4 linked regions of the Notamacropus eugenii genome follow. The protein of the gene in region 1 interacts with the protein of each later gene in a pairwise test. Links are inferred from orthologs where the notes say so. Each region holds a gene or a part of one and is shown in the gene's direction. Other genes may lie near its edges.

Region 1 (8,344 bases):
AAGTGGCAGATGTGGAGTCAGGAAGATCTGGGTTCAAATCTGGCCTCAGACACTTACTAGCTGTGTGACCTTGGGCAAGTAATTCAATCCTGTTTACCTCAGTTGCTCATCTGTAAAATGAGCTGGAGAAGGAAATGGCAAACCACTCCAGTATCTTAGTCAAGAAAGTATCTTAGTCACAAAGAGTTGGACATGACTAAAATGATTCAATAACAAGTTATCAAAATAAATATTTAAAAAAACTAGTTAATGAACTCAGATTAAGAACTATAGTAGTGAATAGTTGGCTTTAGCATAACTTACTTAGCTTCCTCAGAGTTCCTCACAACTGGTTACAATCTACCTTCCATTTTTTAAATTAATTTCTTCATTATCCTTTAATTTCTTCTTTTATACTGATTCTTATTTTCACGTGAAATCAATGCTTGCCCATGAAAAGTTGTACGTGTATGTTTGTAGCTTACCAGATGATCAGAGATGATGGTTACATGAATGATCTAGCCTGTCTAGCCATTGCAAAAAAGCCATCCCAGGACACAGATACAGATACAGACACAGGAACAACTGTAGTTTATTCACTCAGAGTGAGACACACATCAGTAAATGATGAACATGTATGTCTGTTACATTTTGACTAGTGTAATTTATACCAATTTCATCATTCCTTAGATGAGACTTGCTGGTCACAGTAGAGGTAATATCTATTTGTTACAACAACAAAAAAAGGATGCTTATCACTTATTACACAAGAAGGAATGTGTCTTTGTTAGTATAGCTGTTCACATGAGATCAAAGGGAACCACCTATACCTGATAGACAAGATAGAGAAAAGGGACAGAATTCCTTCAGCTACCAAAGTCCTCCTTTGCAAAAAACAAACAAATCCTTTTACAACAATTAGATGTAGAAAGGGAAGTCAGCCTACAGTAAAGATAAGATAATAAAATGGCATCTATAGAAAAAATGTAATTAGGTCATCTCCCAACAGACCACTCTTCACCCTCCAAAATTCATTCAGCTATGGGAAAGTCAGGTGCAGCTTGATTACTAAGAACTTAAGCTGCTGTGAAGTTTTCTTTACAGCTTGCAGTCTAGAGATTGCCTAAGTGCTTATCATGTACTTGGATCTGGAAAAGACTTCAGAGGTCAACCTCCTCATTTTACAGATAAGGAAACTGAGGACCAGAGAGATTAAGTCACTTGGTCAGAGTTACACAGGTATTATTCGAGGGCAGAATTTTAACAGGCCTTCTAGTCTCCAAGTCCAGTGCTCTGACTACCATGAACTATTGTGATTTTAATAATTCATACATTTAGATAAACTTCCTGTAATGGGGATCTGGAATATGTGCAGAATGCTTTGGGATGATGTGCCAGGTGAAGAGACTGGAGATTATCTGTATCCTGGAGAGTCATGATGATATGTAAGAGACATGATTTGACAAGATTATGGAGCATATGAAGACATAAAGTAACCTATTCTGATCTGCTTTGATTTCCTGTCTAAGGGCTTGTGGCTGTGAATAACAGACCTCTGTTCTTTGTTATTGCTATTGTTCATTGGTTTCAGCAGAGCCCTACTTTTCATTGACTGGGTATAGGCCCAAGTTGAGACCTTTCCCCCTTACTCCAAAAGAATTTAGGTCCCATTTGTCTACAAGCTCTGGAAACCCCCTTGAACTCTCCTTGGATCTTCCCACTTGATCTGGTTTGCCTGAGGCTACAAGCCTTTCATTATCCCTCTGCCCAAAGCTCTACAACACTTAAACCTAGCCTAGTCTTCCGTTACCTATTACATTCAGATCACCTGAGGCTATTTCCCACCCTTAATCTTATCTTGGTTCTAGGCCTCCGACCACTAGTCACTGGAGACTACTGGCCACTCTCCTCAAGACCTTCCCTAAACCCCTACTTTGCCAACCCTAGATCTCTCCCACAGTCTTTCTGTATATAAGATCCATCTAGGCCTTCATGAATGTGCTCAAATTCAGTCTGACTCACTTGCCATTGTAGATGTTGTAGTCTCAGCTTCCTTAAGAGTCTGGCCAATATGACAGATTTTTAATAAACTTTATTTTTCTTTGGCTGAAAGAAGGCATGGGTTGAATTCATTTGGGCAGGACCTGCATGCCACCATTTTGGTGTCCCAGAACCACTAAACTTCAACATTCATGACCCCATTTGGGGGTTTTCTTGGCAAAGATGGTGAAGTGTTTTGTCATTTCCTTTTCTAGCTCATTTTTACAGATAAGGAAGCAAGGTTTTCTGACTCCATGCTTGTGCTCTATCTACTGTGCCACCTACCTGCCCCTGTTCTTTGCCTTTTGCATCTGAAATTTTCCAGCAGGTAGCTAGTAGCAGAATGCTGTGTCTGGGAGCCATCAAGACCTGAATACTGCCTATGAAGCTAGCTGGGTGACCCTAGACAAGTCCTTCAACCACTGAGTGTCTCAGTTTCCTCATCTGTAAAATGAAGATAATAAAATCTACTTCTAAGGTTTTGAGGATATATAATCTTATACTTGTAAAGAATGTTGCAAGCTTTAAAGTGCAATCATAAATACAAGCTTAAAAGGTATTCTTAGTTGAAGGGTTTTTCAGTTGTGTCTGACTCTTCTGACATTTGAGGCTTTCTTGGCAGAGATACTGCAGTAGTTGGTCATTTCCTTCTCCAGCTCATTTTGCAGATGAGTAAATTGAAGCAAACAAAGTTAAGCTCAGAGTCACACAGACAGTGCCATGGAAATGATGAGGGCTGGAAAGGGGGTGTGAGACCCCCACAAAGACCAGAGTATCAGGGGCAAGTCATCTGGAGAAGAATTCACAAACTCAAGTACTGTTGAAATCAAGGTAAAGATTTATTACACTTTTCAGCAGGCAAGAGTTCTTAGACAACCTGCAACCTTAAAGGGGTACAGGGAAAGTTTATATAGCATGTTCTATAGTATCACTTGTGCCAAATATGCTAACTAGGTATTTTGGGGTAGGATTAGGGAGTGGTTAAGGAGTGGTCAGTTCTTAAAGGAACATGCACTTTTGATATCTACTGTGCAGGTATTTTACCCAGAATTCATCAGGAAATAGCAGGCCTGAAACGTCAGCAAGTCAACCATCAGTCAAGGCTGACCAGAAATAACCAGGTTTCTCTCGTCAATGACTTGTTAGACAAGATTAATGCAAGGGAGTATAGGAATGTCCAAGTCTAGAATACATATGATTGGTCAGTGAGTAGTAAATGTCGTTATGACCCAGGGCACAGTCCGTTCAGTACACAGCTGGTTCAAACTAATCAGTTCTATAGGTGCATCTGGCTACCATAGCAGGAAGGGAGATAACAGGCTGTTGTTTTAGGGCAGGCTGTGTCCTTGGGCTCGGGAGAAACTGCCTGAGATAGTATTTTGAGACTAGGGAGAAATGTGATTTTTAAAGAGAAATGTGATTTTAGAATTGGGGCCCAAGTACATGCACCCAAACAACTCATCAGAAACACGGAACATGAACCTGGACATCCCCTGAGAGGGGATGACAGAGGGGCTTGTAGAGTGCTGTGGTCCATGGGATCACAGGAAGAGAAGCATGGACTTAAGGAATGAAGAACAACCACAAAGGTGGATGGTTAATTTCAAATTAACTCCAGAAATCCTGGAGTTGGAGTCTAGGCTCATTTTTTGTTTATTGCCAACCAGCCTTGTTGGGCTTCTTTAGAAGCAAAGCCCAATTTCCAGTTTCTGGGGAAGGGAGGACTCAAAAGGTAAATTATGCTGCATCTGGACAAGAACTTGACAGGGCCAATGCTCTGTAGGAACTGAGTTTTAAGGGGGAAATATTTACACTTTGGTTCCAGCTATTGTCTTTGGGGTAAATGCCCCGTGCTAAAAGTTAATTGATATTAAGTGGTTAAATAGAATTGCTGCCCAACCTGGAGAGAGGGGGGAACTCCACCGGTTCAGGATTCTGCCAGGTGGTTATGGAGTCCATCAGGATCCCAAAGAACCCTGAGGGGATGACATGAGAAGCCTGGCTCTGGGACAGCTATGTTGTCTTCCTGCTGCATTCCCAAAGGCCAGAATCTTAAACTGAACTTGGGAGTTTTCTCTTCTGTCTCAGCACAACGCAAGTTATTGTTTCACAGCCAGGGCCAGCAGCTGAAGCTAAGTTCCCCCCAAATCCAGTGTAAGAGAAGAGAAAAGGGGTGGAGGGGGAGGTGTGGTCAAAGGGGAGGCCCCGCCCAAGGAAGGACTTGGCCCCGCCCACGCCTACAAGCTGCTTAACTATCCTTGGCTAATTGTCCCCCATAACACCTACCTTACAGTGTAACCAATCAAAATCTTACGGCTCAAATGATTTTTTTTTTTTTACAATCAATTCCCATTCAACGGGAATAAGCAGGAGAGAATTAAAAAGGCGCCACCTAGTGTTAAGATCATGAGAGGCTCCACCCAGTCATAGATCTGTTTTCCGAAACCGCTCCCAGACCTCGTCCCCGAGAAAAACAAAAGCACACCCCACTCCTTAGCAGGCCCTCAGGATGGGTTTTCCATTGTAGATTTCCTCCTGCTTTTTAACCCACTCAAGGGTCAGACCAAATAGGGCTCGCTCCTCTGGTCCCTATCACCACATTTCTCCTGGCTTTCAAAGTTCTCTGCACGTTCCACACCTCCCAGGTCCCGGCCCTTGCCAAGAACACAGTCCCGCACCCCGATTCGCGCATGTTCTGTCAATCCCTCCCATTCCCCGACCACGCCCCTCTACGCAGCCTCTAGATCCCGCCCCTTCCGGGCCTGGCGCGTGCTCGAGCAAAATTCCTTTGGCTCTTCTCTTCGGTGCTTTCCGGGAGCGCGCGCGCTCCACTTTCAGCCGACCTTAGATTTTTTTTTTTTTTTTTTTGCCGCTGGGCGAGGGAGTAGAATTGCGGGAGGAGGGAAGAGAAGGAGGCGGGGCGCTGACCATTTCTCGAGCCGCGATTGGTCAACTGGGCGACGACACGTCCGGAGTAGAAAAACTCTTGAGTGCGCGCAACTCACGGGGCTGGGGGAGGTGCCGGGCGGAGCGCAGGTAAAGGGTTAGCACCGGGGCTGGGCGGCGGTGGTGGGACCAGAGGGAGGAGGCTTGATTCTGGCCTCTCGTCGTCCCTCCGAGAAGATGGGACTGGAGGCAGCCGCTGCCACGTCCTCTGGCACTTAGTTCATCCTGCTTGTTCTCATTTGCCGCCGGGCTTTGGGGAGGATGGGGAGGAGGAGAGGGCTGGGATAGGGGGGACTCTGGGAGTCCTCCCTCGTGCGGCGATCTGCGTGAAGACAGAGATTAGAGATTGCACAGTCTTCCGCCCTTCTTTCCCCGCCTCGCACCCCGTTAAGTGGCATTTGGCAGCGGGGAACCGACCCAGAATTTTAAAAGTTGGGGTGCTTTAGGCGGACGCTTGCTTAATAAAGCGGGCCCTTGAGGGATTCGAGCTTCGAGGCTAATTCTTCCATTGACAGTGCTGCGTTCTCGAGCAAATTATTTAATCTCTCCCCGTGCAACATTTCTCTCATTTGTTGGAGAACTATCAGAAAGCCCTCTTGTCCAACTGGTTAAGGAGGTGAACTCAAGGACGTTGACTTTACTTGGATGAAGGGAGCCGTGTGAACAGGAGTAATGTTTTGAACATCGTTTTCCTAGGGTTCTTCATCTAGAAAGTAGCGATAACCCAGCTCTGTTGGTGAATTACCTTTTGGTCCATGAATCAACCGAACAAAACAGAAAGACATAGTGTTACAATGTTACAGTCATGACAATGTGGTGCAACTTTGTAACCTATTTTTTTGTGAAAATGTGCCTAAAGCACTTTTCTGTATGTGTGGGAGTGTTATTTAAGCTACACGATGATAACAAAGGCTAGCTATTATTTGAAACAAGATCATGAATTGAGATTCTGAAATCACAATTTTACCATCACCTTTCTTTATTGTTGCTTGGGAATCTCTAGTCTAGTTATATTATTGGACATTTGGCTCTAAAATAATGCTGTATTTTTTTTTTTTTTTTTTTTTACTGTTATCCCTCCTCCCCCTTCTGGCCTTCACAGCTTTTAGGATGACATATTTTGTGTATCAGAGAATAATAAAGGTATAGCTAAGATTTTAGGTATATATGGTGACTATTTAGGATTATAGGATCAAATGCTTTTTGCTGTTCTCTAGGAAGAGGTAGAGAAATTTTGTTTAGATAATTTTACCTTCAGGTGGATTTGTAATTAGTTGAAGGGCTTATTCAAAAAGTAGTTATTAATGGTTTGGTATCAACTCAGAGAGGGTTCTCCAGTGGATGGATGGAGTGATTGGTCCTGTGCTATTTAACATTTTTATCATTGATTTGAATCAATCATTCAGTGAGCATTAAGCTTGCTCCCAGTTGAGAGGAGTTAAGGAGACTGGATAAGTGATTTGGCCTGGGGTCACATGTGTCCTGAGGGTCACATAAGTGTCTGAGGTTGATTTTGAACTCATCTTCCTGACTCCAGGTCCAGGGCTCTATATAGTCTCTCTTGCCTCTAGAAGGGAATAGAGCTGTTCCCTTTGGCCCCATCGGTAAACTACGTGGAAGCTGTTAAGCTTTAAATTTTGGTTTGGTGTTAGGAAAAATTTCCTGTCAATTAGAACTATCCAAAAGTCAAATGGATTTCCTTGACGGGTATTCTTCCTCAATGAAAATTGTCAGGTAAAGGATGAATGAGCAGTGAGTTTGTCAAGAAAGGGATTCTTGTTTGAGTATAGGGTTGGACTAGGTCCTCTTTGAGGTCTTTTCTAACTTTTGGATTTTATGTTTCTGTAACCTCATTTTAGTTGAAATCCCTAACTTTAGAATTGGGGAAAGTGAGATTAGAGTGAGAGCTAAGAAGATACCTGAGCACCAAGACTAAGTTCCCTGTGTGGGCCATCTGGAAAAGAATTCTCAAACTCCAGCATTCTTGAGGTCAAGGTAGTAAAGATTTATTAAGCTTTTCAGCGGGCAAGAGTTGTTAGGGAACCTGCAACCCAAAAAGGGTCCAGTTCAAGTTTATATAGTATATTCTATAGTATAACCTGCCAAATATGCTAACTAGGTGATTCAGGGCAGGATTAGGGAGTGGTTCAGGAGTGGTTAGTTCTTAAAAGGAACATGCACTTTTAGTATCTACTTCACTGGTACTTTACCCAGAGTTCATTGGGAAATAGCCCAAAGAGGGGAGGGCTACATGGAGGTGTGGTTTTAGGCCTGAAACATCACTAAGTCCACTAATGGTCAGGGCTGACTGAGAAATACTCAGGATGCTCCCATCAATGTCTTGTTAGACGAGATAAATGTAAGAGAGTGTACCTGTGTCTAAGTCTAGGACACCTGTGGTTGGTTAGTGAGTAGTAAATATCTTTAGGACCCAGTTCACGGCCAATTCAGCCAGCAGAACACAGCTGGTTCAAACTAATAGAAACTGTAGGTGCAACTGGCTACTGTATCAGGAAGAGAGATCTAGGGTGCAATGTCCTTGGACTGAGGAGAAACTGCCTGGGATAGTGTTTCGACGATAGGGAGAAATGTAATTTTGGAGAGAAATGTGATTTTAGAATTGGGGACCAAGCACCTCGTCAAAAGCATTATAGATTTTGAGTTGGAAGGAACCTTAGAGGTCTTCTCTAAATCCTTCATTTTAGAGATAAGGGAACTGAGGTCCAGGAGAGGTTACAAAGCCAATATTTGAACACAGGATCCCTAGCACCAAATCTGTGCCACTTTCTGTGCTGTTTTACACTATATTCCAAATGACCTATGAGTTTTTGAGTATAATAATGATTTTTAGTGGGATCAGTAACTAGATTTGTTCTGTCCTTTGTTCTCAAAGGACCCTCCTCTCAGGAGGGTGTGGGAGAGTTTGACCTTTTTAAACCATGGTCTTTTCTTGGTCTCAGTTTGTCTCAGGCAACACCCCTTCAGTGCTTAAAGCTTGTAGGAAATGAGGCCAAAGATCACCTAGTTTGCCTTCTCAAAAGAATCGTTCTGTGAGAAGAGGACCCTTAGGGCTTCTGGCCAGTAACGACAACAATTACTGTTTCCACTCACTTTGAGCCCTCTGAAACCAGGCAATAACCAAGTGAGGCTTGAGCTGGGATCTATTATTGGCCAATCAGTGAGAGCCTGAGTGATTTGAGTTTAAGACACAGTCAAGTAGTTTCATTTGAATCCCAATGGGCTTTATCAAAGCCTTGTTTTTCAGAACTATATTTCAAAAAATCAAATGAAAACTTGTTGAGACAAAAGAATTAATTGTCCCAGGTTTGGGGGGGGGGGAATAAATAAAAAATAAAAAAAAAATCTAGCCCCCAAACCC
Region 2 (8,043 bases), on another chromosome or scaffold:
CCCTTTCTAAAGTGGCCTGAAGCCCACTGAGCTAGAGGAAGAATTATCTAAGGTACCAGAGATAAATGAGAGAGTCCAAGCTATCGATAAACTGAAATCAGCAAACAGTTTGCGAGATATCTCATATCATGCAAATAATATATTCCTTACCTACGTGTCATTTTGGCTTAGATATGGCAAATCACAGAACAAGATTCCACTCTTCCCTGCCTGTATACAGTCATGTTCACGGAAATATGGAGCAGTGTTTATCTCAGACTTTTCACAGAATGCCTATCCAGAAGTCATCCCAGGTCACTGCTAACTTCAACCAGCCCACCTATACTATAAAGTCTGTTGGCCTGAGTTACTACCATGTGTCTGGTGAGCACTGCTAAGAAAGCCTCCTAATAGGTACACTGGGGAGGTACAAAAGAACAGTATCCTTTGAGGTATGACTATTTAACAGAGAAGACAGGGCAAAGGTGAAAATGTACAATTAAAGATGGCAGGAAAAAAATGTACATCCAACTGCTGATTAGACACATTACTATAGAATGAAGAAGGTCTTAGACTTAAAGGAGAAGAGGGGGACCCCTTCCTGCAGGCCACTTACCTTTTCTTTTGGCAGAGTTACTTTTTGGCTTCTCCATCTGATTAGCAAAGTTCTGGTTCCTGAGAAAGAACAGCTATATCACTGGGCTGGAAAACATCTCATTTCTGTACTATTTTAAGTATTCTTATCACAACTATATAGAACTCTCAGTAAATTACAAACCCTCCTCTCCATAACCTTGATAGATCTTAAGCTGTTTCCCCTAGGAAGTGAGCCACCACAAGGAAGACACTGTATTTCCACATTTGTGTCTACATTACAAAGTCAAATATAAACAATTTTTTCATCATCTACTACTTGAGGAGCATCACTGCCTCCCTCACCTTCACTCTACTAATACAAATGATCCAGTGGTGACAAATAAACCAGTACTACCTTCCTGCTTCTGGGCACACGTATACCTACCCCAACCCAGATTTGTAAGACTCTTGAAAAGAACATTTCTGTAAATAACACCCTACCCATACCTCTCAGTGTCTTCCTTTACAGCTAAGAACTCTAGGCTAGCTAATTTGGACAATGTCAACCCTTCCTTCCTTTTCTATCCTACAAGGAAACAAAAAACAGTATTGCCATGATCCCCACAACCTCCCCAACTATCCCTACACAACCTTTTCAGTATGTGGCAACAAAAAAAGAAGGTGATCTGGGAGACTTCAGAGTTCTTAGACAAAGAACAGAGACTGGACCTGTGATTTTTATTGGTATGAAGAATTCTCAGGTAAGGAAATAACTTGTTCCCTGCAGTCATCACCTTATCTGCACTTGATCTTAGAGAATTGAGAAGCTAAGTGCCTTGCCCAGGCCACACAGCCAGGATGTATCAGAGGTGAACCTAGGTCTTCCTCATTTTCCAGAGAGGTCTCTACCACTTTGGCAGACTGCCTCTCAGAGTTCCTCCAAATACTTAATACCTAGCACAGAGTTCCAAAGAGTACAAAGAGCTATGAAACATTACTATCATTTACTTCCACAGAGGCCTAGATTCTGGTTCTGACATTTACTAGGTGTGACAATGCAGCAAGTCATCAAAAATGGGAGCCTCCATTCACACAGCTACCACTCTAGTACAGGTCCTCATCACATGACCAGGGTCTATTACAATAGACCTGCTGGCTTGGTCCCCACCTCAAGTCTCTCCCCAGTTAAGTCCCTTCAGCCAAAGGGATCTGCCTAAAGCTCAGGTCTGACCTATCAACCCACTACTGAAAAAATAATTCTGTGGCTCCCTATTCCCTCCAGGATCAAATATAAACTATTTTGTTTGTCTTGGAAGGTCCTTTTCAACCCAGCCCCCAGGACCTTTCCAAGTCTTCTTACGCTTTTTTCTCCTTCATGTACTCTACAATCCTACTGTCTTGTAGTAGTTCACGGAACAGTTACTCCACCTCCACACTCCGTGCATTTTCACTGGTTGTTCCCCAAGCCTAGAATGTTCTTTTCATGTTGCTAGGCAAGCCTACTATGTCTCTCTCACCCATTCACCATCCAGCTCTCCACAGAGGCTCTTCCCAATTTTTTCATCCCTCCTCAAACCTCTCACAGTTCCCTTCCACCATCCTCTCAGCTAAGAACCTTGCCTTCTATTTTACAGAAAAAAAAGATCGAAGCTATTCACAATAAACTCCCTCTTCTCACCCCTTCCTCATCTCCTATCATTTCCTGATCTCTTATCACTCAGAAGAAGCCTTCTGCCATTACCTGCTCTTCACCTGCCTCACATGATGAAATGGACTTACTCTTTACCAAGGTTAACCCTCTACCTGTTTAAGTGATCCCACTCCATCTCACCTCCTCCAACAGATTGCCTGCTCTGTTATTCCCCACCATAATACTTACTTTTCAGCTCTGGCCTATTCGTTACTGCCTACAAGCATGCACGTCTTCCTCCACCCTCAAAAAACCCTCACTTGATCCTTCCATCTCCACTAACTATCATCCTATATATCTTCTACTCTTTGTGGCTAAATGCCTCAAAAAGACCGTTTACAATAGGTGCCTCCACCTTGTTTCCTCTCACTTTGTTCTTAACCCCCTTACAATTTGGCTTTCCACCTTATTCCACTGAAACTGCTCTCTCCAAAGAGCTCTTAGTTGTGAAATCCAATGGACTTTTCCCAAACCTCATCCCTCTTGACCTCTCTGAAGCCTCTGACACTCTCTCCTCCCTAATACTACTCTCTTCTGTCTAGGTTTTTGGGACACCACTCTCTCCTGATTCTCCTCCTACCTGTCTGACTACTCCTTCTCTATCTCCTTTACTGGATCTTCATCCAGGTTACTCCCACAAAAGGTAGGTGTACTTCAGGGTTCTTTCTTTCACTCTCTTCTTTTCTTCCCTCAATACTACTTCACTCGGGGATCTCATTAGCTTCCAAGAATTATCATCCCCATCCTAATGAGTCTCAAATCTACCTATCCTGCCCCAAACTCTCTGCTGATCTCTAATTTCACATCTCCAAATGCCTTTCAGCTCAAAATGGATCTCCAATAGGATCTCTTAGGCTAAACATGTCCAAAACAGAACTCATTGTCTTTCCCCCTCAACCATCCCCTTCCTCTCCTGCTTTCCCTATTACTGAAACAGCCTGTGCATGGGTCTTCTGGAATCAAGTCTCTCTACTCCAATCTATCCTCCATTCAGTCACCAAAGTGATCTTCCTAAATCACAGGTCTCACCATGTTTCTCCCCTACTCCATAAACTAAAATGCTTTGTTTAGTATTCAGAGACCCTCATAACCTAGCCCTCTCCTACCTTTCCAGTTTTCTTACATCTTATTCCCAGTCAGCACTCTTCGGTCCAGTGACACTGGCCTCCTGACTGTTTCTTGAAGAAAACACTTCACCTCCCAACTCAGGGCATTTTCTTTGGCTCTGCACCATGCCTGGAAAGCTCTTCTCAATTCTCCCTAATGACTCACCTGGCTTCCTTTAAGTCCCAGCTAAAATCCCATCTTCTGCAGGAAGCTTTGCCCAAACCCTCTTAATTCTAGTGCTTTCCTTCCATTAATATTTTCCTATTTATTCTGTATATAGCTTTTGTTGTTTGTATGTTATCTCCCCCGTTAGACTGCAAACCTCTTGGGCATAGGAACTATCTTTTACCTCTTTTTATACCCTCATTGCTTCCCACAACGCTCGGCATTTATTGTTGATTGATTGGTTCTTCCTCACCTGCTAGCTTCCTTCACGATACCTTAAATGCCACCTTCTGCCTTCTTCCTCCCTCCCCCTAGATGTATTCTGTATGTATACAGCTGTTTGCATGTTGTCTTCCACATTCGAATGTGAGTTCCTACAGGGGAGCGCCCGTGTTTTTGCCTTTCTTTGTACCCCCAGCACTTAGCACAGTGCCTAATGCTCGCTGCTGAATAAATCTGTTGATGAGCGAAACGAGGGTGCTCCAACTACATGACTGGCAAGGCTTTTGTATGAAAAGGGCACTGTACATTTTTAGGTGGTATAAAATTGTGAGTTATTATTACTGGTTATCACGTAAACAGCAATAGCATAAGAAGGCAAAGATTCGGTCACAAAGCTAACTGGGCAACCAACTACAAATCCCAGCACGTACAGGGAATGTACTGTTATCCAGTCCTGAAGACTACAACTCCCATATCACCCTGCGGCAAAACGTCACGTTTCTGTCTCAAATGCCGGTTGACGTCTCGCCCATACGCCATTCCCTCACCTTTGCTGGGTTCGAACTGACTGATTGAAGGCTGTTATGTCTTCCTAGTTCTTCAGAGGCCAGGTAAAGCAGGAGGAGATGGTTCAGTTCACTCACTTGCTATGTAAAACAAAAGCATAAACTCTCCCCGCTTCCAGAGCCCCACCCAGGAGCTGTTGCGCTTGCGCGCTGAAACACCAACCAATCAACTGCCTGCGCTAAAGCGGCTGCGTGAAGGGCACCGGCAAGAGTCTGCACGCGGCCCGGCCGGGAGCGGTCATCCAATTGCGCCTGCGCTTGAGCTGCCCCTCCCCTCCGTTCGGCACGCTCTCTACCTAGCTTGCATAGCCGTTCGGGCCAGAGAGGCGGGACCGTAGGTACCGATTGGCTTATATTGGTGCCTGTCAACGAGACGTGTGAGGGGATTGGCTGCAGCACAAAGGATAGCACGTTTAGGTGTAGGCGCTGTAGCGGCGGCGCTGCTCGGGCACCGCATTCTGGCTCTATCTCCAGAAGGTTCCGCCGGTTCACCTAGCTCCCGGTTCCCGGCTCCGCGCCGCCATGATGGGCCATCGCCCCGTGCTCGTGCTCAGTAAGTCGTAGGGGACTAGAGGCTGACCCGACCTTTTGTGCCATGCCTCCCCACACCCATTTCGGAAGGCCCCTGATCCCCAGGAATCCCCCCGCAACTGATCTCTGCGCGTCGTTTCATTTGCCCGTAGTAATGCCCGGATCTCCCGCGGGTGCGGGATCCCTGGCCCTTCGGTCACTCCCCCCCACCCCCAGGACTTCTCTCCCACTGAGGGAGGCAACCCCCTGCGCGCTCCCTGACCGGCCTCCCGATCCAGGGCCCAGGACTGCCTTCTGGCCTTGCAGATCTCCTCGATTCATTAATGCCTCTCCACGTGATTTCTTCCCCCCATCCGCCGCAGATCTCCCTGCCCCCACAAACACATCCTTGTCCTGAGAGGTAGCGGTTCGACCCCTAGAGGGGCCCTTCTCTTCACCGTAGAACGGAAGCAGACCTGCACCCCCCGCCCCACCGGGTCGTTGGGAGGAAAGCGGTTTGTAAAAGCCCCTCTCACTTCGGGGTTCTTTCTCCTCCCTCCATCAACTCCCCGAATTTTTTCCCAGCCCGTGTCGAGTTTTGTTCTTTGAGTTATAGAGGCTGTGTTGTCCTCAGACCGTGTTCGTGGGACCCTGACACGGACTCAGGACGCCTTAGAAGTGACTTGGTATTGGTAGGAATTGCGGCCTCCATACTTTGTGACCTGGGTTGTCTTACCTTGAAGGATTTGAAGATCCTGAAGAGGTAGAACAATTTGATCATGGCTCTAGAGCCGGAAGGAGGAACGTGGGAAGTCGTCTAGTCCATACAGCATCCTCCGCTGCTACCTAGGTTGCTTCAGTGCCTATACATACGTATCTAGGCCGTATGGCATTCTCAGCCGCTGCTCTGGTTACTTCTGTACGCACACCGGAACACTTTTAGTAACGCTAAACAGAAAATCATCTATTAAAAACTTTTCTCCCATTTTTCTCTAACGTCATTGGAATTTGTTCTAGTGAAAAATAAGACCAAAAATATGAGGGGAGTTCTGTAAGTTATGAGATAATGTATTTTTTTTCTCAGTGATGTTGGGAAAATGTCTCTTTCGTGGCTAACTCTCCCTTATATATATCTTATGCCTTGTCTCCTGGGTTAAAAGGTAAAACTCTTTGAGGGTAGATTATCCCAATTTTGTATTTGTGGCTCTGACTCTTAGTACAATGCTTATCAAATACTAATCACTTGATATAAATACTTTTCATTCATCACAAGTGTGAAAAAGCAAAGGCAATCATGAGACATTGTTCAACTGTTTTGTTTTTCATGCATTTCAGGTCAGAGTACAAAACGGGAATCTGGAAGGAAAGTACAATCAGGGAACATCAGTGCTGCCAAGGTATCTTTCATTAGACCCCCTCCCCCCCAGGATTGTTTTAGTCTTACAGTTTGACTTGATTCTCTTTTTTCTGAGTATCACAACAATCCCTCAGTGATATATATACACAAGTAAAGTCAGTAAAGCAAAAAGGTGATATGTGAAGTGAGTGAAAGCTGGTGTTTTATAACAGAAGTTTACTTGCCTGGCGGATTGTGAATGGAATGGACAGTCCCTTTAGTGTCTGACTATTGGGCATGGAAAGCTCAGGGAAACATTTCTTAAGGACCCCAAACTCATCTGCCAGTTAGTTCAACTAGGCTTGTTGGGAGTTCTCCCACATTGACAAAAGTAGCTGTGTGGCCCTCTTCTCCCTCAAAACAGTTTGACACATTCACCTGAAAGATTTTTGACTCTGAGGGTCAGCCATAACTCTTTGTCATTTCTCCTCTTCCTTCCTACTCCCACTTCTGACATTCATGATTTCTTTTGTATATGGAGCTCCAGTTGCGAAAACTACCAGTACAAATAGAGAACTGTTGTACAACTTCTTTATCTGTCACTTTTATTGAAGTTAAATATATATATATATTTAAGGCCACATTAGAATTTGCATATCTATACCTTTTTTCCCATCAGACTATTGCAGATGTCATCCGAACATGTCTGGGACCTAAGTCCATGATGAAGGTAAGTTTAGCTCTTTTAGCAACACTCAAACTAAGAAATACCTCAATTTACCCACCCCTGGTATATTCAACTTAGTGAACATACATCACCAATGTCTTCTGATTTTTTCTTAGATGCTTTTGGACCCAATGGGTGGTATTGTGATGACCAATGATGGCAACGCCATTCTCCGAGAGGTTTGATTTTTATTTTGCGTTCTTGTAGTTTCATAAGTGAAATGGAAGATATTAGCATGCTTTTCCTAAGAAGATTTTGTAGGTGATAAGGGCATTGTGCATGCATTTTTCAGAAAGAGAATTTAAGGGGTGGTTACATAGATAATAAAGGCTGAATTCTCCAGCTTTTACTATGTAGGATCATTTTTATTTGTAATCTTCTTAGAAGCAGAGTAAGAAAATACACAAGTGCATATCTCCAAGGTAGAGAGCTGAATTAGGGACAAGCAGGATAGACAGAAAAAAAGATGTTGGGAATTGTCTTGAATTGTCTTGATCCTCTCCAGATTCAAGTCCAGCATCCAGCAGCCAAATCAATGATTGAAATCAGTCGGACCCAAGATGAAGAAGTTGGTGATGGGACTACATCAGTGATTATTCTTGGTAAGATACAGGGAAGTTAATGAAGGGAAACAGAACACAGTATGAGTAAAATGCTGTACAGATGTATGATAGTAATACAATTTAAATAATTTCTGCTACTTTTCTACATAACCTAATAGATTCAAACATGGAAGGTGAACTTTTCAATCCTAGTTTAGTGATATATAGACCATTTGGCATGGTAGGAATAGCACTAGATTTTTAGTCAGAGGACCTGACTTCATATTGTAAATAATAACCTTGCAAGTCATTTGCCATCTGGTGACTTCATTTTCCTTATCTGTCAGAGGAGGAAGGCTGTACGCATTCCACCTAGGGTAAAGCCATTGTCTTAGTTTGCATTAACTGTCTTCCACTTCACATAATATCTCTGGTATTCTCCTTACCTTCCTGAAATCTTTTGTGCCACTTTTGCTATACATTGATACCATTTCTATATAAATTTCTGTTTGTTGCAGAGTTCTACCAAGAAATACATATTTTTTGTTTAACAAATGAATCTATTTTGTACATGATCTATGTGGGAATTTGTTTTGCTTGAGTATGTGTATTTGTAATATAAG
Region 3 (7,700 bases), on another chromosome or scaffold:
TCTCTACCTTGAAGCCATTGCTGATCTCCAGTGTTGCTACTTTGACATACTTATAATGAAATTCTTTTCATTAATGCTCTTTGTCCTGAGTTTTGCCTTGTTAATCAGGGTGAAAGCTCAAATGAAGAATTTTCCTTTCAACAAAACCCCACATCAAGCAAGTCTATTGGCTCAATTTTTCAATAGCATGTGCTTACATTGTATCTGTGTCATATTTTGGTAATTCTTACAACTTTTCAAACTTTGTCATTATTATTATAACTGTTATGGTGACCTTGAGCAAGGATCTTTGATATTACTCTTGTTAATTGTTTTGGGGAACCATTAACTGCTCCCATATAAGACATCAAACAATCCAATAATGTTGTGTGGATTCTGACTACACCTACCAGCTGTTCCCATCTCTTTCTCCTCAGGTCTCCCTATTTCCGGAGACAAAACAATATTGAAATTAGGCCAGTTAATAGCCCTACAATGGCTGCTAAGTGTTCAAGTAAAAGCAAGAGCCAGTTGATGCAGCAAACTTCACTGCTGTCTAGTTTTAAGAAATTGCCACAGACACCTCAACCTTCAACCACCACCACCCTCACCAGGTAGCAGCTATCAACATGGAGGCAAGGCCTTCCACCAGCAAAAAAATTGTGACTCACTGAAGGCTCAGCTGATGATTAGATGATTCGATTTTTTAGCAATAAAATATTTTTTAATTAAGGTATGTGCATTTTTAGACATAACACTATTGCACACTTAATAGACTACAGTATATTGTGAGCATAACTTTTATCCACACTGGGAAACCAAAAAATTGTGTGACTTACTTTATGGCAATACTCACTTAACTGGAAATGAACCCACAATATCTCCAAGGTATGCCTATACAGATAAAGAATGGACTATCCATTCTTTGCCTTCTATTGTATAACATCTGTTCTGAGCCTTGGAAACTAGTATGGATGTTCTCCTTACTCAGTTTATTTTGCCTTCTTTTTCTCCACATAAAATGTCCTTTCATTATAGCAACCCTAGGAAATGAGTAGTTCAAGGATTACTATTGCCATTTTACAGACAAAGGAAGGAATGTTTAAAGATATTTAGTGATTGGCCAAAGTCATATCTAAGAAATGCTGGAAATGTAATTTGAATCCAAGTAACCAGTGTGTTGCTGTAATGGATATAGACAGAGGAGGGTGGCTCTTGGGTAATTGTTCAGTCCAAGTAGATTGGCCAACCCAACAGATGCATTCTCCCTAGGTCTGAGAATTTCATTTCTTGTAGCAACCACAGCCTTCAGATTTAGAAAATATCTTCAAAGAAGAATAGGTTGGAGGGCTGCAAAACAGAGCTTAAGGTTTTCTGTTGATTTGGGAAGAGAACATTATAAAACATCGTATCTGTTCTCTCCTAATACCTGTAGTCTTGAAAAAAAACACCACCACTATAGGCGGACGTGAAGATTTGACCTCTCCAACCTCCCCCTTTAGTGAGAGGTAAGCACCCTGCTCTCTAGAACGGAGGACCCCAGATCAGACCCATTCTGAGAAAGCTCTTTTCAAAATAGCTACAGTATATGACTATCTCAGAGTAATTTCTCTAGGGAATGGAGTGAAAATGGAGCAGGTAAAGAGGACTACCTGAGGAGAATCCTCCTTTCCAATGTACCTTCTCCATAGCTTATAGTATTAGAGGTTTAATGTTTAATTTAGTATTTGTATTTAATTTATTAATAATTTAACAATATTTAATTTAAGATTGCATATTAAAATGTAAATTGGGAAATATTTAACAAAATAAATAAAAATACAAAAAGCATGGTTTTCTAAGTCAACATGAGGCCCAGCAGAGATCCTAGGGGTCCCATTTATGAGTTTGACAGCCCTGGGTTAAACCCCTGAAAGGTTGTAACTTGCCCAAGGTCATCCAGTCAGCATATGTCAGAAGTGGAATAATGATAATAATAATAATGACTAACACTTATGTAATGCTGACTAGGTGCCAGGTACTGTGCTAAGAACTTTAATTATTACCTCATTGGATCCTCACAACTAGGTGCTATTATTATCCCCATTTTACAGATGAGCAAACTGAGGCAAATAGAGCTTAAGTGACTTGCTCAGGGCCACACAGTTGTAAGTTTCTGAGGCTGGATTTGAATTCAGGTCTTCCTGACTCTCAAAACCACCTCTCTCCCTACCATGCCACCATAAGAATAGTAATGATAACTGATATTTATATAGCATTTTACTCTGGGCTACCCACAGCATCCTTTAGTCTGTACCCTCCATCCTTTGGTTCATATTCTTTATGGTTAGAGGATTCAGTGATTATTTATTCCCTTTTTTCCTAAGCAGAGTGGGTCCCTCAAATCTATTAAGACAGGTAAAGGGAAGGGCCTCACTTGTTCTTATAGTTTCTGTTCTCTAACCAGAGAGTTAGAGAAGTTAAATGATCGATGATAAGGGTGGCAAGGGTTCAGGTTGGAAGGACTTTCCATATTAATAGAGGAGTTAAAATTTGATCCTAAAGGCAACAGGGAACTATTGGTTTTGAATGACATAGCTGGACCTAACACTTTAGCTGTGGTGTGGAGAGAGGTACCTGGAGACAGATTTGAAGAAGGGATATCAATTAGAAGGCTACACTAGGAGTCCAGGAGAGAAGCGATGTAGACCTGAACTAAGGATGGTTTCTGGGGAAACAGAAAGGAGGGAATGCATAAAAGTTTTCCAGTTGTGAATCTACTCCCCTATGCCCACACTCACCAATCCTGTACCTTCCAGGACTAAAGATTCCCTCCTTGCCCTCTACTCCCCTGAATGTGGTCTCCCTTAGGGCAAGAACTGTCTGCTTTTTTTCTTTGCCTACCCAGCATTTTCCGTATAGAAAGTGCTTAATAAAAATTTTTCCCTCATTCATTCATTCATGTAAAATCTACAAGACTTGAGAGCTAACTATGTGGGGTGTGAATTAGTAAAGAGTCAAAGCTAAGGTCTAGATTTTGAACATGGATGATTAGAAGGATGCTGGTACCCTCCATAGAGATATCACAGTTCTGAGAAGACTTAGATTGAGGGGAAAGATAAGTTTAGTTTTTGACATGTTGAGTTTGGGATGCCTATGGGACCTCCAGATGCCCATTCAAACAAACATTCAGGTCAATAGAGCAATTTCAGCTTCAAGTTTCACCACCTATAAAAAGAATCAGATTGGATGATATCTGTAAGGAGCACTTAAAACAACACCTGACATATCTGAAGTATCCAAAAAGTAATTAATGATGCAGGACTGAAGCTCAGAGGAGAGACTAGGTTTGCATATATAAATCTGGGAGTCATCTGCTTAGAGAGAATACTTGAACCCATGGGAGATAATGAGGTTAATAAAGGAGAAAGTATATGCAAATAAAGGATTCAGACAGAATATTAGGATACGTCTAAAAAAATTTGGGGTGAGGGGGTGGTTGGGTGTGACACACGTGATGATCCAGCAGAGGAGACTTTAGAGAGGAGAAGGATGATGATTGAGAAGAGGCCATCAGATGTGGCTCTTAAAAAGACCACTGGTAACCTTGGAAAGAACCATTTCAGCGTGCTTGGGCAACAGCTAGGACAAGAACAGGGAGGCTGGCTTGTTGGGGAGAGGGGGAGGTTAGTTGGAAGAACCTCCTTATGAAGAGACCGCCATTTTTGGAGGAGGACGAGGAGGAGGACGAGGAGGAAGGGGAAGGAGAAGAGGCTGCACCTTTCCCATCCAGTTCTCGGGCCCTTCCTCGTACTCCTCCGAGAGTTGTCTTTCATCCTCCATCCAAACATCATTCACAGGTTGACCAGCCCAAGACCGCACATCTCGTGTCCTTCTAGCCACCCCCAAGCTCCGATTCCTGCCCTTTTTCGACCCCCACCCCTCCCGGGACTGCCACCCGGGCCTGGAGGGGGGCCCTAGAACCTCAGCACCTTTCTGGTGCCGGGCCTGAAGCACACCTGACCGTTTGGCCCCGCCCCCCGGAAGGCCAATCGCCCCGCCCCGTCCTTCTCAGTAACCAATCCCTGCCCCGTCCCCTCACGGGCCCTCCCCTCTCCCTCCCTCTAGCTGGCCAATCTCTGCCCCGCTCTCCCAGCCGGCGACCGCCATTTCTAGTCCGAGTAGTAGACCCCCCAAGTCTGTGGAGCCAGGTAGGCGGGAGTCTTCCTTGGCGCCGAGCCCCGGGGTTGAACGGCGAGAGGATAAAGCAGGAGAGGTCCGGTTGAGACAGGTGGGGCGCCGCGGGACCACCATGGGCTCCGGGGCCGGCCGCTGGCTGGGCAGGTGGGGGTGGGGAGAGGAGAGCGGCCCAGTGGTTGCCGGGGCAACGGGGACGCGATGGGGGCGGGGTGGGGATTTGGAGCCGCCAGCGCGCTCCGGTCCGGGCCTGGCTTGGCTTAGGTGGAGATCTGAGGAGGCTGCTGCCTAGACGGTGCCGGGACGTGGAAGTGCCCCAGGTGCGAAAAGAAACTCGGAGGGTGCAGGGGCCCACCTCTGCCCCCGCCTCGTCTACTTGGCCCTAGCCTGGTGGGCCGCGGCGGGGACGTCACCTAGCGGCGTGATCCCGGTACTACGGCAGGGATGCCGAGCCTGCGAGTCCATCCAGGTTACAAAATCAAGGATTTTGTTTGTTTTTAACATTTTCTTTTAAATTGGGAGTTCCAAATTCTCTCCCGCGACCCCTTCCTCACCCACTGAGAAAGCAGGCAGTAGATTAGTTATACAAGTGAAGTCATACAAAATGTATTTCCAGATTAGCAAAAAGCAAGAAAAATAAAAGTGAAAAAAGTATGCTTCGATCTGCACTGAGATCATCAGTCTGTAGCATTTTTCTCCGTGCCTACTTTGGAATTATCTTAGATCATTGCATGGATTACAGTAGCAAAGTCACAGTTGTTCGTTACAATATTACTAAAAATATGAACTTGTTTTTTAAAAAAAAATGTATAACTATTTCAGTATAATTCAGCCTGCTACATTGTCACAGTGATGCAATGTTGGACTTGGAGCTAGGAAGACCTGTGTTCAAATCCTGCTTCAGGCACTTACTGTGTTTCTTAACCTCTCAGCCTCAGTTTCCTGTTAGGTTTAAATATGATTACGTAGGTAAATGTGCTAATGTAGTTTCCTTTGTATTTTACTTTATGCATTTAAAAACATTACTCAGAGAAGGGTTTGTCCATTGATTGTCCAAGGAGACCATAACACATACACACTAAGAACACTATTTGAGAGCTCCTTCTGGGCCAGAAGGGCCTCCAGCAAAGCCCTCTTCCATTCAAACATTCCTGCAGATGAAATTCTAATATGACCGCCTTTCCATTCATTCTTTATGCCATATCTTAGTCAGAAAGTATCCTTGTAGGGAGTCCTTACCAGCAAAGCCTCTGTCACACACAGCTATTATCTGACCTTCATTCCCTAAGTCCAACTCTCCACTTAAAGTCTGACCATCTGTAAAATGTGTCAGATGAGGTAATATCTGTAAAAAGTACTTAGCACACACAGTAAGTGTTGTATAAATATGCGTTCTCTTCCCCTTCTCTACCTGCCATACCTGTTTTACTACAGAGGGTTGTTGTGAGGATCAAATGATGACAACATTTAAGAAAGTCAGTCAGTGAATGAATGGAAAAAAAAAACATTTATGAAACACTCTCTCTGCAAAGTGCTACAAGCTAGGAATACAGAAAGAAAAGCTGGACAGCCCCTGCTCTCCACAAGCTCATTTCCTATCAGGAGAAATAACACATATAGGAAGGTTCAGCTTCAGGACAGATGGAAAGTTCTCTTGGTCTTTAGGGAGCAGTAGTTCAACAGATAGTTTTTGTCAATTTAATGTTTCAGCTTATAAAATCATATGTGATTTTGACGTTGGACTGTTTGATATCTACCAGTGCCTAGAACTTCGGTGTCCAGGACTTACTTATCTGAATCTTTAGTAGATATAGCTTTTGCAGAGGGGGTAACTTTAGCACCAGCCAGCAGAATCAGTTGCCAGGTTGCATCTCCAAAAGGGTTGGCTGAGGGCCAGTGGTCTGAGAGACCAATGCTGTTACCAAGGCTTGTGGGTATACTTGCTCATAAGTGGCAGTTGGTTAGTGGTTGGTGTTAGTGTTTGGAACTACTGCTAACACTAAGATACATACATTTTATTTTTCCCCAATTACGTGTTAAAACAAATTTTTAACATTTTAATAATCTTTTTGAGTTCCAAATTCTATTCCCCCTTTCCCTCTCCCCTCACTGAGACAGTAACAATCCAATATAGTTTATGTATGTTCAATCATGTAGAACATTTCCATTAGTCATTTTGTACAAGAAGACTTGAGTTGAAAGAAAGAGAAGAATAGAATGCTCCATTCTGTATTCAGACAGTATCAGTTCTGGAGGCAAATAGCAGATTTCATCATTAGCCCTCTGGGATTGTCTTCAATCCTGTATTGCTGAGAACAGCTTCATTCACAGTTCTTCATCATGCAATACTGCACGATGTTCTCCTTGTTCTGCTCACTTCACTTTGCGTCCGTTCGTACAAGTTTTTCGAGGTTTTTCTGAAATCATCCTATCATTTCTTATAGCACAATAATTCCCATCGCCATTATGTATCACAGTTTGTTTAACCATTCCCCAATTGATGGCATGCCTTTGATTTCCAGTTCTTAGCCACCACACAAAGAGCTGCTATAAATATTTTTGTACAAATAGATCCTTTTCCTTTTGTTGGATGTCTTTGGGATATAGACCCAGCAGTGTTCTGTATCAAAGGGTATGCCCAGTTTCATAGCTCTTTTGGCATAGTTCCAAATTGCTCTCCAGAATGGTTGGATCAGTTCACAACTCCCCTAACAGTGTATCAGTGTCCCAGTTTTCCCATGTCTCAAACATATGTCATTTTCCTTTTTTGTCACATTAGCCAATCTTTTACATAGCATTTTAAAGTTTACAAAGTGCTTTCCTCAAAAAGTCAAGCCAACAAGCATTTATTAAGCACCTGCTATATGCTAGGCACTATGCTAAGCTCTGGGGCTACAAAGGAAGACAACAGGCAAGCACCTATGTACAAATAAGCTATGTACAGGATAAAGTGGAAATAAAACAGAGGGAAAAGACTGGCAATAGAGGGCATAGGTAAGGAAAAGCTTCTAGAAGGTGGCATTTTAGTTGGGACTTCAGGGTAGCCAGGATGAGGAAGGAGAGAATTTTAGGCACAGGGGACAGCTAGTGAAAACACAGAATTGGGAGACAGAGTGTTTTGTCTGAAGAACAAACATCCAGGAGGCCAATGTCACTAGATCCCAGAGTTTATGATTGAGAATAAAGTGTAAGGAGTCTGGAATGGTAGGAGCGGGGCAGGTAATAGAGATTCAAGCACCAAATGAATTTTTCATTTGATCTTGACAGTAATAGGAAGCTACTCAGGTTTATAGAGGGAGGGTAACATGATCTGGCTTGTGCTTTAGAAAGATCAGTTTGATAGCTGAACAGAGACTGGGAGTTAACGTATCTTCCCCACTTTATAGATGAGGTATTTGAGGCATAGAAAAGTTAAATGATTTGTCTAAGGTCACACAGCTTGAACCAGCGACAGTCAAGACACAAGTTAAATTCAGATTTCTTAACACAGTCTCCTAAGAAATATAGAATGGAATTTTTAGTTATTTTAGCAAATATGTTGATCA
Region 4 (7,759 bases), on another chromosome or scaffold:
GGTACAAGTCCCATGGAAAAGTCCTACGGTCTTTAGGGTACAATGGCAAAGCAGATGCTAGTGTCTCCTTTTTAATATCATTTCCACTGATAAATTCACCTATTCTTGATGTTGAACCATTTGGCAGTGTCAAGGACTTTTTTTCCCCCATCTTTAAAAGCTGCGGCTACAGCACCTACATAAGTAGTTGCCAGGATGTATCCCCAGAGGAATTGACTGTTAGGATGATGGCATTTGGATAACGCTGGAAGAGTTACTATTTCCCAGGCTCTTGGTCAGAGTCTTGGGCTTGTCTTTGTCAGGGATCTGACAAACTTGACTTGCCTAGCACAATTGTTCCCTATTTCTACTTTAGGATGCCTGGCTGCTTCAGTGAGTCTGGCTTGCCTGTCCTGTGTGTGGCAGCTGGTTGACAGTTGGTGGAGATAACTGGTTCCTTCTCCATAGGTGCTGCCCTCCTAGAGGATGACTGTGAGGCCTATGTTGCTGTGGAGATGTTGCCATTCCCAGGGCTCCTCATTCCATCTGAGAGATGCTGTTGGTGATGAGGAAAGATGGATCTCTTTTCCACTATGATCTATCCCCTCATGATAGCTATGGAGGTTGGGTGGTATGTAGGTCCAGTGGACCTGGGGTACACCATACACTAGAGTACATTGCTATTTGCTGGGTTCTTGGGTTCAGGATCCTGGGCTATCTCCACTAGGGTCTAAGGTTGCTTTGCTTAATCAAGTATACAAAAATGTTGAAAGTTACATTGGTAAATATTATTTTAAACTTTCCTAAAGCCAAATTAATAAATACAGTAAGAGGTTAATTTATTAGAATCCACATTATTATTAATGTCTAATATAAAAGAGTGAAAAATTTTATTATGAATTCCAAGCACTCTGAATTTGTTCAGAGACATCCCCATTTTCTACTATCTTGATAATGATGGCCATTATGGCTCTGCTGGGAGCCTGCACTTGCAAAGCTGGCCTTGTAACATTTCTGCTTCACTCTGCAAATCTTTTAAAAGTCACATTGGTCAGGTTTCTAATGCATTCTGAGTCTGGAATAATGCAGCATGCATCACAATCAATCCTCTGGTGCCCCACTGGCCTGGAGCTAAGTTTAGAAGTTTGACTGTCTGGAACTAAATGTAGCCTTCTCCTCCTGCAGCTGGAGCTTCCCATTCCAGCTGCCCAGGGAAACTAACAGTATGCTAAGGGTAGAGCTAACAGTATGCTAACAGTCAGTGCAGTGAAAGCAAAATTATTTTAGAGTTCAATGTTTTGAAGTAAAGAGATTTTTCAAAGAGAATCAAATGAGGGGGATGGAAGTAAAAGTAAAGAAAGAGAAAGAAGTCTAAAGAATCTGGCAAAATACCAGATGTCCTTTGTCAGGAAAAGAATGAAGATAAAAAAGAACTGTTTTGCAGGATGAATAAAAAACTTCAACCCAGAAAGGCAGTTAGAATGTGAAGTTCTTAAAGGTAGGGACTGTCTTTTGCCTTTTTGTATCCCCAACCCTTAGCACAGTGCCTGAATTGAGCAGTAAGATCAATGCAAGAGTGAAAAAAGAAATCTTGAATATTTATTTCTTCTTTGAAAGGAAAATCATGACTATTCTAGTATTCTAAAATAGTGGAGGCTACTTGTGCCGTTAGAGGGGAATCATACCTTATTACACTATGGTATTTAATTTGGCCTGAGTCAAAACTTTTAGTAGTCTACAAGGCAATTTTGTTTAACTATTTCCTTGAACTGTATTGGAGAAATAAGGGAGGGTTTGGAGGATGCTTTGTTAGGAATCTTCTGTCAAGTCTAAATAAAATGTATCGCAGAAAAAAACAAACAAACCAAACAGGCCTTTAAGTGGTAACAAAAGTTACCACAGTACTCCAAGCCATTAGAAAATCCATTTCTCAATCCAAACCCTTTCCCTCATCTGTAACAACACCAGCAGCACACAGGATGGGAAATCCTGTGAAATCTCAGCCCTTAAAATAAAAATTCAGTTCAATAAGTAGTTATTAAATACCTCTCTACTATAGAATGCTGCTGAGTCTGGCATCGGAGGATAGGAATTCAAGACCCAATAATTCTGCCACTTACTCCTGTTGTAACCTTGAATGAGTCTCCACCTCTGGGCCTGTTTCTTCATCTTCAAAATGAGGGGGTTGGACCGAACCTTCCCAGCTTTCAATCTGGGATCCCAACTTAAAGGCAACAGTCATTTATTTTCCTAGTAAAAGGGTACGTGGATATGTGAGGAATTCAGCATTAAGTTAGATGCCGGCCGGCCCTTGCCTTTGTGAAAGTTTAATAAGGGAGTTATATCACATCGACTACACAAGATAATTCACGCTACCTTACTAAGAGGTAAAAGAAAAATGTTACCTGAGGTGGCCGAGTAACTCGTAAACTGATCATCTTGGTGAACTACCGTATTTTCAGAAGGGTCTGTGTGGTGTTGGCGGATGGCTTTATAGAAAAACCTAAAATTCTGGTAAAGAACTATTGGTATTTTGTGAATTTCATTCATGTTGGGAATCTGGGGACTTGCATTGAAGACGTGTCTATGGGCTGAGACCTAATGCCCCTTTGATGGCGTGTAAACCCCAAAACCCTTGGATCAAAACCGGTCCAGGCGCAGACGCAGAGGTTTGCGTAACAAAGTAAAAAAAAAAACCCCAACCCCCAAACCCCGACTTCCGTGTAGTCGTCTGGCCGGGCTGTTCACGCACCGTGACCCACATAAGACACTTCGGCTCCCTTCTGGACCACGAGGGGGCTCTGCTGGGAGCCTCTGATGTCTGACGTTAGTCAGCTGGGAAATGGATATTTTTGGGGCGTTTCGTTCGTTTCCCTTTCTGCCGCCGCATTTTTTTGTAGCGGTTATGGATACATCTTGTCTTTATTAGGCACACTGTGTAAAACCACATCGGTAACATTGTATCTTTCCTCGCTCTTTGGAGATAAGCCTCCCACCCAAAGACAGGTCCCTGGAGGCGAGATAAGCTCGTGGCGGCCCGCCCCCCTCCCCCTCCCTGTCTAGTCCTTCTCCAGCCGGCTCCGTACCCGAAGGTCCCACTCCGGCCTCGAATCCTCCCTAGCTCTTGCCTTGGGGGCCGCAGCCCCCTCGGCAGGCCTTCGATGGCGAGCCCTTCCCGGGCCGGACGGGCGCCGGCCAGGGAAGCCGCCCGCCTCCACCCCCTTGGCCAAGCTGGCCCGGACTTCCAGGCCGCTCCGGGCTTTGCGTCGCGGCTTCTCGGCTGCTCTGCGGACGGGCTGGCCCGGGCCATGCGGGGGGGCTTTGCGGCAGTATCCCGCTAGCGCCTCGTCAGCACTCTTTTGTGATGGGTGGTGGGGGTGGCGGCAGAAAGGAGAACCTAATTCCCTGTTAGGGCTGTCCTGATTTTATCCTAAAATAAACCCAAAAAAAAGGCGGCGGCGATTTTGAGGAGGGCCCCCTGAAGGAAAGGTCGGAGTTCTGCGGTGCCTCTTTTCTCTCTTCTCCGGAAAGCCTCCTCTCCTCGCCCGGCTGGCTGCAGGGAGATGGACTGGGAAGCGTTTGGGGGGATGAGGGGGTCCTCATAGTGCGCTGATCCGCCTGCTGCCGCCAAGTCCCCGGGCAAGGTCCGGGAGGCGGCCAGGGCCTAGCAGCCGGCGGAAGGGTTTAAAGGAAAGGGGCGAAGCCTGAATAGGGGCCCCTCCGGGTAAGCCCCCATCCCCGAGTAGGGGGGGAGGGGGAAGGAGCAGTGTGCGCGCGCGCGTCACGGAAGCCCGGGACCACCCCACGCACGCTACGGCGCACGGGCTGAAGCTCGCGGCCGGCTGGCGGGCTCGCGGCTCAGAAGCTTCCTGGGGGCTTCCAACGAGAGCCGCTGCGCCGCCCGGCTGGGCGATCGCCATGCGCATGCGCGGCCCCAGCGCCATTTTGGTGGCCGGGCGCGGAGGTGAATCCACTGTGAGGAGAGAGCGGCGGCGGCGGCACGGCTCCCCTGCTCGGGTCTGAATCGCTGAGGGAGGAGGAGGCGGCGGAGGTGGCGGCGGCGGCGGCGGCGGTCGTGGCGGCGGCGGAGGCGGGGGGTGCGAAACGGCTGCGGGAGGAGACATGGCCAACATTGCGGTGCAGCGAATCAAGCGAGAGTTCAAGGAGGTGCTGAAGAGCGAGGAGGTCAGGAATGAACTCCCGGCCGTCCCCCCGCCTCCTCCCCTCCCAGGCACGACCTCCTCGACCCCCCCGGCCCCCCGCGGGCGGCCCCCCGCACGCCCGGCTCCCCTCCGCGCCGTGTCCGGGAGGCGGCCTCCCTCCTCCACCCCCCGCCCTGGGCCCCGGTTTGGCCGTGTCACCGGCGGGAGGGCGGCGGAAGGCGAGGCTGGGATTGGGGGGGACCGTGTTGGGGAAGGGGCCCGGCGGCCACGGCCGCCACGGCCGCCGCTGCAGGAAGTGTGGCTGCGGCGGCGCCGGGAAGGAGCAGGCCGAGGCCGAGAAACCCCGGGAAGTGGGTTGGGGGAAGGGGAAAGGTGGGAAGAGAACGGACGGAAAGCAGGTCTGCCCCAGGCCCTGCTGGGTGGGGGATCGGGGGCCCGGACCGGAGGGCTCCCCCATCTGTTCTTGGGGAAAGATCCCTGGGCACTGCTGAAAAAAGGGAGGACGATACTTGGGGGGATTTCTTCTTAGATGGGTTGGATGAAAGGTAGGCAGGAAAGGGACCAGGACAACATGGTGGCTCAGTGTCCTAGTGGAGGGAAGAGATTTTTTTCAGTTGAAATCAATGATTCATTCCAGGTGCCCCAGGAATGGGCCTCTGCATTGACCCTTCCAGGGTTTGTCTGAGGGCAGGCAGTTCTTCGGTGAATTTAATATTTTTAGCCAGTGACAGTGGTTGGTGAGAACAGATTACAGTACTGTGTTTTTATATAATCTCTAAAGGTTGGTAGACACCATCTCTTTAAGCCATTTGCCTCAGTGGCTTAAATTGTAGACTAAACTTAATTATGTCCCTTTTAGTTTACTTGTATAATATCTTTGAAAAAGAGCATTTGAAAATAGGAAGGTTCACCGACTATCTTCTGAACAAGAATGATGGGTGATTTAATTATCATTGACTGTTCAAAGAATGATTAAAAATTTCCAGCTGGCCAAAATTCTTCCTGTTCCTTCTAGACCGATGCATACTATTAGTGCTTCATGTATGTTACAGTCTGGTAATGTTCTTATGGTTTGTCATGCAACAATGCTGATCTCTCAAAACAGTTTTCCCCCACTTAAAACAGATATAGATGATGCATTACTTATTACCATATGATAATCAGAGTATGGAATTGTTTAATTGGAAATTTTTATGTATCTTCCCTAAAATAGAAGCAGAATATTTAGTATAATTACGTTCTGATCATGATCTCTTTTAAGTTTCTTATTATGATACTTTAGTAATAAGTAGTAGTGTTACTTTTGAAATTTAGTATTCTATTGAAATCATTACTAGGGTGACATCTGGCCTAAAAACTTACTGAGTCTGCAATGATCATATGAAAAAAATGCCACATCTTTGCAAGTAGACATAGTATCCTGTGATTTAAAAAAAATTACTTTGCTAGCTACTTTATACATTTGGGATGTTTGTATATTGTGTTAGTATTCCAGATGAGTCTTTTCCACAGAGCATGTGTGTGAACTTTGACCTGTATGTTTGTTCAAGTGCCAAAATGAATGGAAGAATGACTGTGTATTTTTGTGGTACAGTGCAGAAACCACTGCGCTCTTCAGAGTCCTAAGTGTCTGCACTGCTACAGACTATTGGGTGATTCTAACTAATGAAATGGAGGTGCTTCAGAGCATCCAATCTGAGTAACCGTAGTAAAAGGATAGGTTTTAAAAATAGTTGTACAAATCTTAATATGGATTTAATGCTTCCTTTTCTATTTCCTAGTTACAAAGTACACCTTACTACTTCTAATATTGGTTTCTTTGACTCGTTTTAATGGTGACTGATTTATTACCATGGTATTCTAAGGACTTGAATTCAGAGTTTCTAGAAATACTTGTTTATGCATAACTGAATGAATACAAGTATTCCTGTGTACTCCTTGTCCCCATGGGAGTTGTTTGGGAGTGGCAAAATTAGAATGAGAAAACTATCTTGGTGTGTCCAGAAGAAAAACCTTATATGCCAGGGTCCATCTTTTGGGAACTTAACTCTGTCCATATACATCTGAAAGCAAGCACTTCCTTCTTTGTCCTCCTTCCCCCAAGTCAGTAGAAAAGGACTTTTGCCCGGGAAGGGTCTCAGCCTTTTAATCTTGGATGAAAACAGGTTCCATCATTTATTTTTATTAGATCAAGCTCTATAAAAGGATTCTAACACCAATTATGCTCATTAGAAGAGAGGACTCCTAGCTTAATTCATGTATTTTGTTTCTAATGTTAACAATATTTTGAATGTCTGGTCGTATTCTTTCACTACTTTGGGTTTTTTTCTTTTCTGTCCAAAGTTTGCTTATATATTGAGTCTGTATTTATGGAGAATATCAGCTGATATCAAAGGCATTTTGCATTTCAGAAACCTTTGTAGTTGTAAAAGAACATTTTTATAGTAAGAATTCTTAACTTATTATCTTGTGAAAGGATTGTCCAGATTTTTTTCTTAGGTCTGAGTTTGGAAATCTAATTGACACATAGTCTTTTCAAAGTTTCCTATTAAGGTTTCATCTGAGTTTGATCTCTGGACCTATTCTTAATAAGTCACTTCAAAAATGTTTTTTAAAGAAATAGTAACTCAAAATTAATGGAATGGGTCATAAGGTAGGTCCGCTGTTTAGCCCCAAGTTATCCATCAGAATTTATTATTTAGTTTTACTTTTATTGTTGATAGCAAGGTAGTCTTAAAACCATGAATTTTTATTTTTTGCTTTTAACGTTTATTTTCAACGACATTGAAATGGAATTCATGGAACGATGAGGGGGAAAAAGGTGATCTTTTTAGTGAGATATTTTCATCCTGGAATCTAAGACTGTTTATAGTGAACAGGTTTTCTTCCAGTGTAGATTCATTTTAAAAAATTAAAGCTCTTGGAATATGAAAAGAGGTTGTGGTCTTCCCACAGGGTCTTTAAAGGATCATCATGTTCAGTGTTTTGAATGTGATCACTGATTTTGAAGAGATAAATGACACCCATAATTAGCTTAAAAATACATAGATTAAAAAAGTTTGCTTTTCATTTTGAGTGGTTATAATTTTGTATATTTTTAAACTTTCAGTTTAGTAGGCAGTGTTTTGTCCTTAGAGAACACATAGGCTCTTACTTTTTGATTTTTTATTTCGTACTACATGTTGACCGTAGTTTAATTAGTTGTATTTATTTTACATTTGTATCTCCACACGTTTGGCAGAGTTTATAGACCTGTATTTGAAGAAACTTAAATTTGTAGAATAAAATCTAATTTGTTAAAATGAAACTAGTTTGAATACGTACTAATTACATGTTACATATCAGGTTTTCATGCCATGTGGGTTTTTAAAGTCTTTGATGTTTGTGTTAAATTTTGAAATTGATATTGATTGCTTCATTTAAAGCTAGTTGTTGAACTTTAGAATATTTATTACACTTGAGAAGATCAGTGAGACCGTTAACAGTAGCAGTCCAAATAACCTCACAACTGAGAAACTCACACAGATATTTTCTCACTTTTTACTGTACACTTAAGTAAAAACATAGACACTAGCCCAGATGTTGTTTTTAGTTTTTTAAACTTATTAAATTTTCTT

The links.
Region 2: the proteins of MIPOL1 (region 1) and CCT3 interact in binary tests that used the Homo sapiens proteins (3 or more experiments, as listed by UniProt). The two-hybrid records come from large-scale screens. The link is inferred for Notamacropus eugenii from reciprocal best matches to the Homo sapiens genes MIPOL1 and CCT3.
Region 3: the proteins of MIPOL1 (region 1) and TTC12 interact in binary tests that used the Homo sapiens proteins (3 or more experiments, as listed by UniProt). The two-hybrid records come from large-scale screens. The link is inferred for Notamacropus eugenii from reciprocal best matches to the Homo sapiens genes MIPOL1 and TTC12.
Region 4: the proteins of MIPOL1 (region 1) and UBE2K interact in binary tests that used the Homo sapiens proteins (3 or more experiments, as listed by UniProt). The two-hybrid records come from large-scale screens. The link is inferred for Notamacropus eugenii from reciprocal best matches to the Homo sapiens genes MIPOL1 and UBE2K.

The regions. Positions count from the first base shown.
Region 1 is NC_092872.1:330,684,406-330,692,749, forward strand, and holds the start of MIPOL1 (mirror-image polydactyly gene 1 protein), read left to right. Parts: upstream 1-4,931; 5' UTR 4,932-5,055; intron 5,056-8,344.
Region 2 is NC_092873.1:380,398,362-380,406,404, reverse strand, and holds the start of CCT3 (T-complex protein 1 subunit gamma), read left to right. Parts: upstream 1-4,463; 5' UTR 4,464-4,827; coding exon 4,828-4,858; intron 4,859-6,150; coding exon 6,151-6,212; intron 6,213-6,830; coding exon 6,831-6,881; intron 6,882-6,994; coding exon 6,995-7,057; intron 7,058-7,383; coding exon 7,384-7,480; intron 7,481-8,043. Other genes in the region: TSACC (TSSK6-activating co-chaperone protein), read right to left, coding at 596-654, 1,207-1,346. UniProt on the Homo sapiens protein: Component of the chaperonin-containing T-complex (TRiC), a molecular chaperone complex that assists the folding of actin, tubulin and other proteins upon ATP hydrolysis.
Region 3 is NC_092876.1:140,188,032-140,195,731, reverse strand, and holds the start of TTC12 (tetratricopeptide repeat protein 12), read left to right. Parts: upstream 1-4,072; 5' UTR 4,073-4,169; exon of another isoform or gene 4,170-4,249; intron 4,250-4,377; exon of another isoform or gene 4,378-4,475; intron 4,476-7,700. UniProt on the Homo sapiens protein: Cytoplasmic protein that plays a role in the proper assembly of dynein arm complexes in motile cilia in both respiratory cells and sperm flagella.
Region 4 is NC_092877.1:93,757,759-93,765,517, forward strand, and holds the start of UBE2K (ubiquitin-conjugating enzyme E2 K), read left to right. Parts: upstream 1-4,078; 5' UTR 4,079-4,101; coding exon 4,102-4,164; intron 4,165-7,759. UniProt on the Homo sapiens protein: Accepts ubiquitin from the E1 complex and catalyzes its covalent attachment to other proteins. In vitro, in the presence or in the absence of BRCA1-BARD1 E3 ubiquitin-protein ligase complex, catalyzes the synthesis of 'Lys-48'-linked polyubiquitin chains.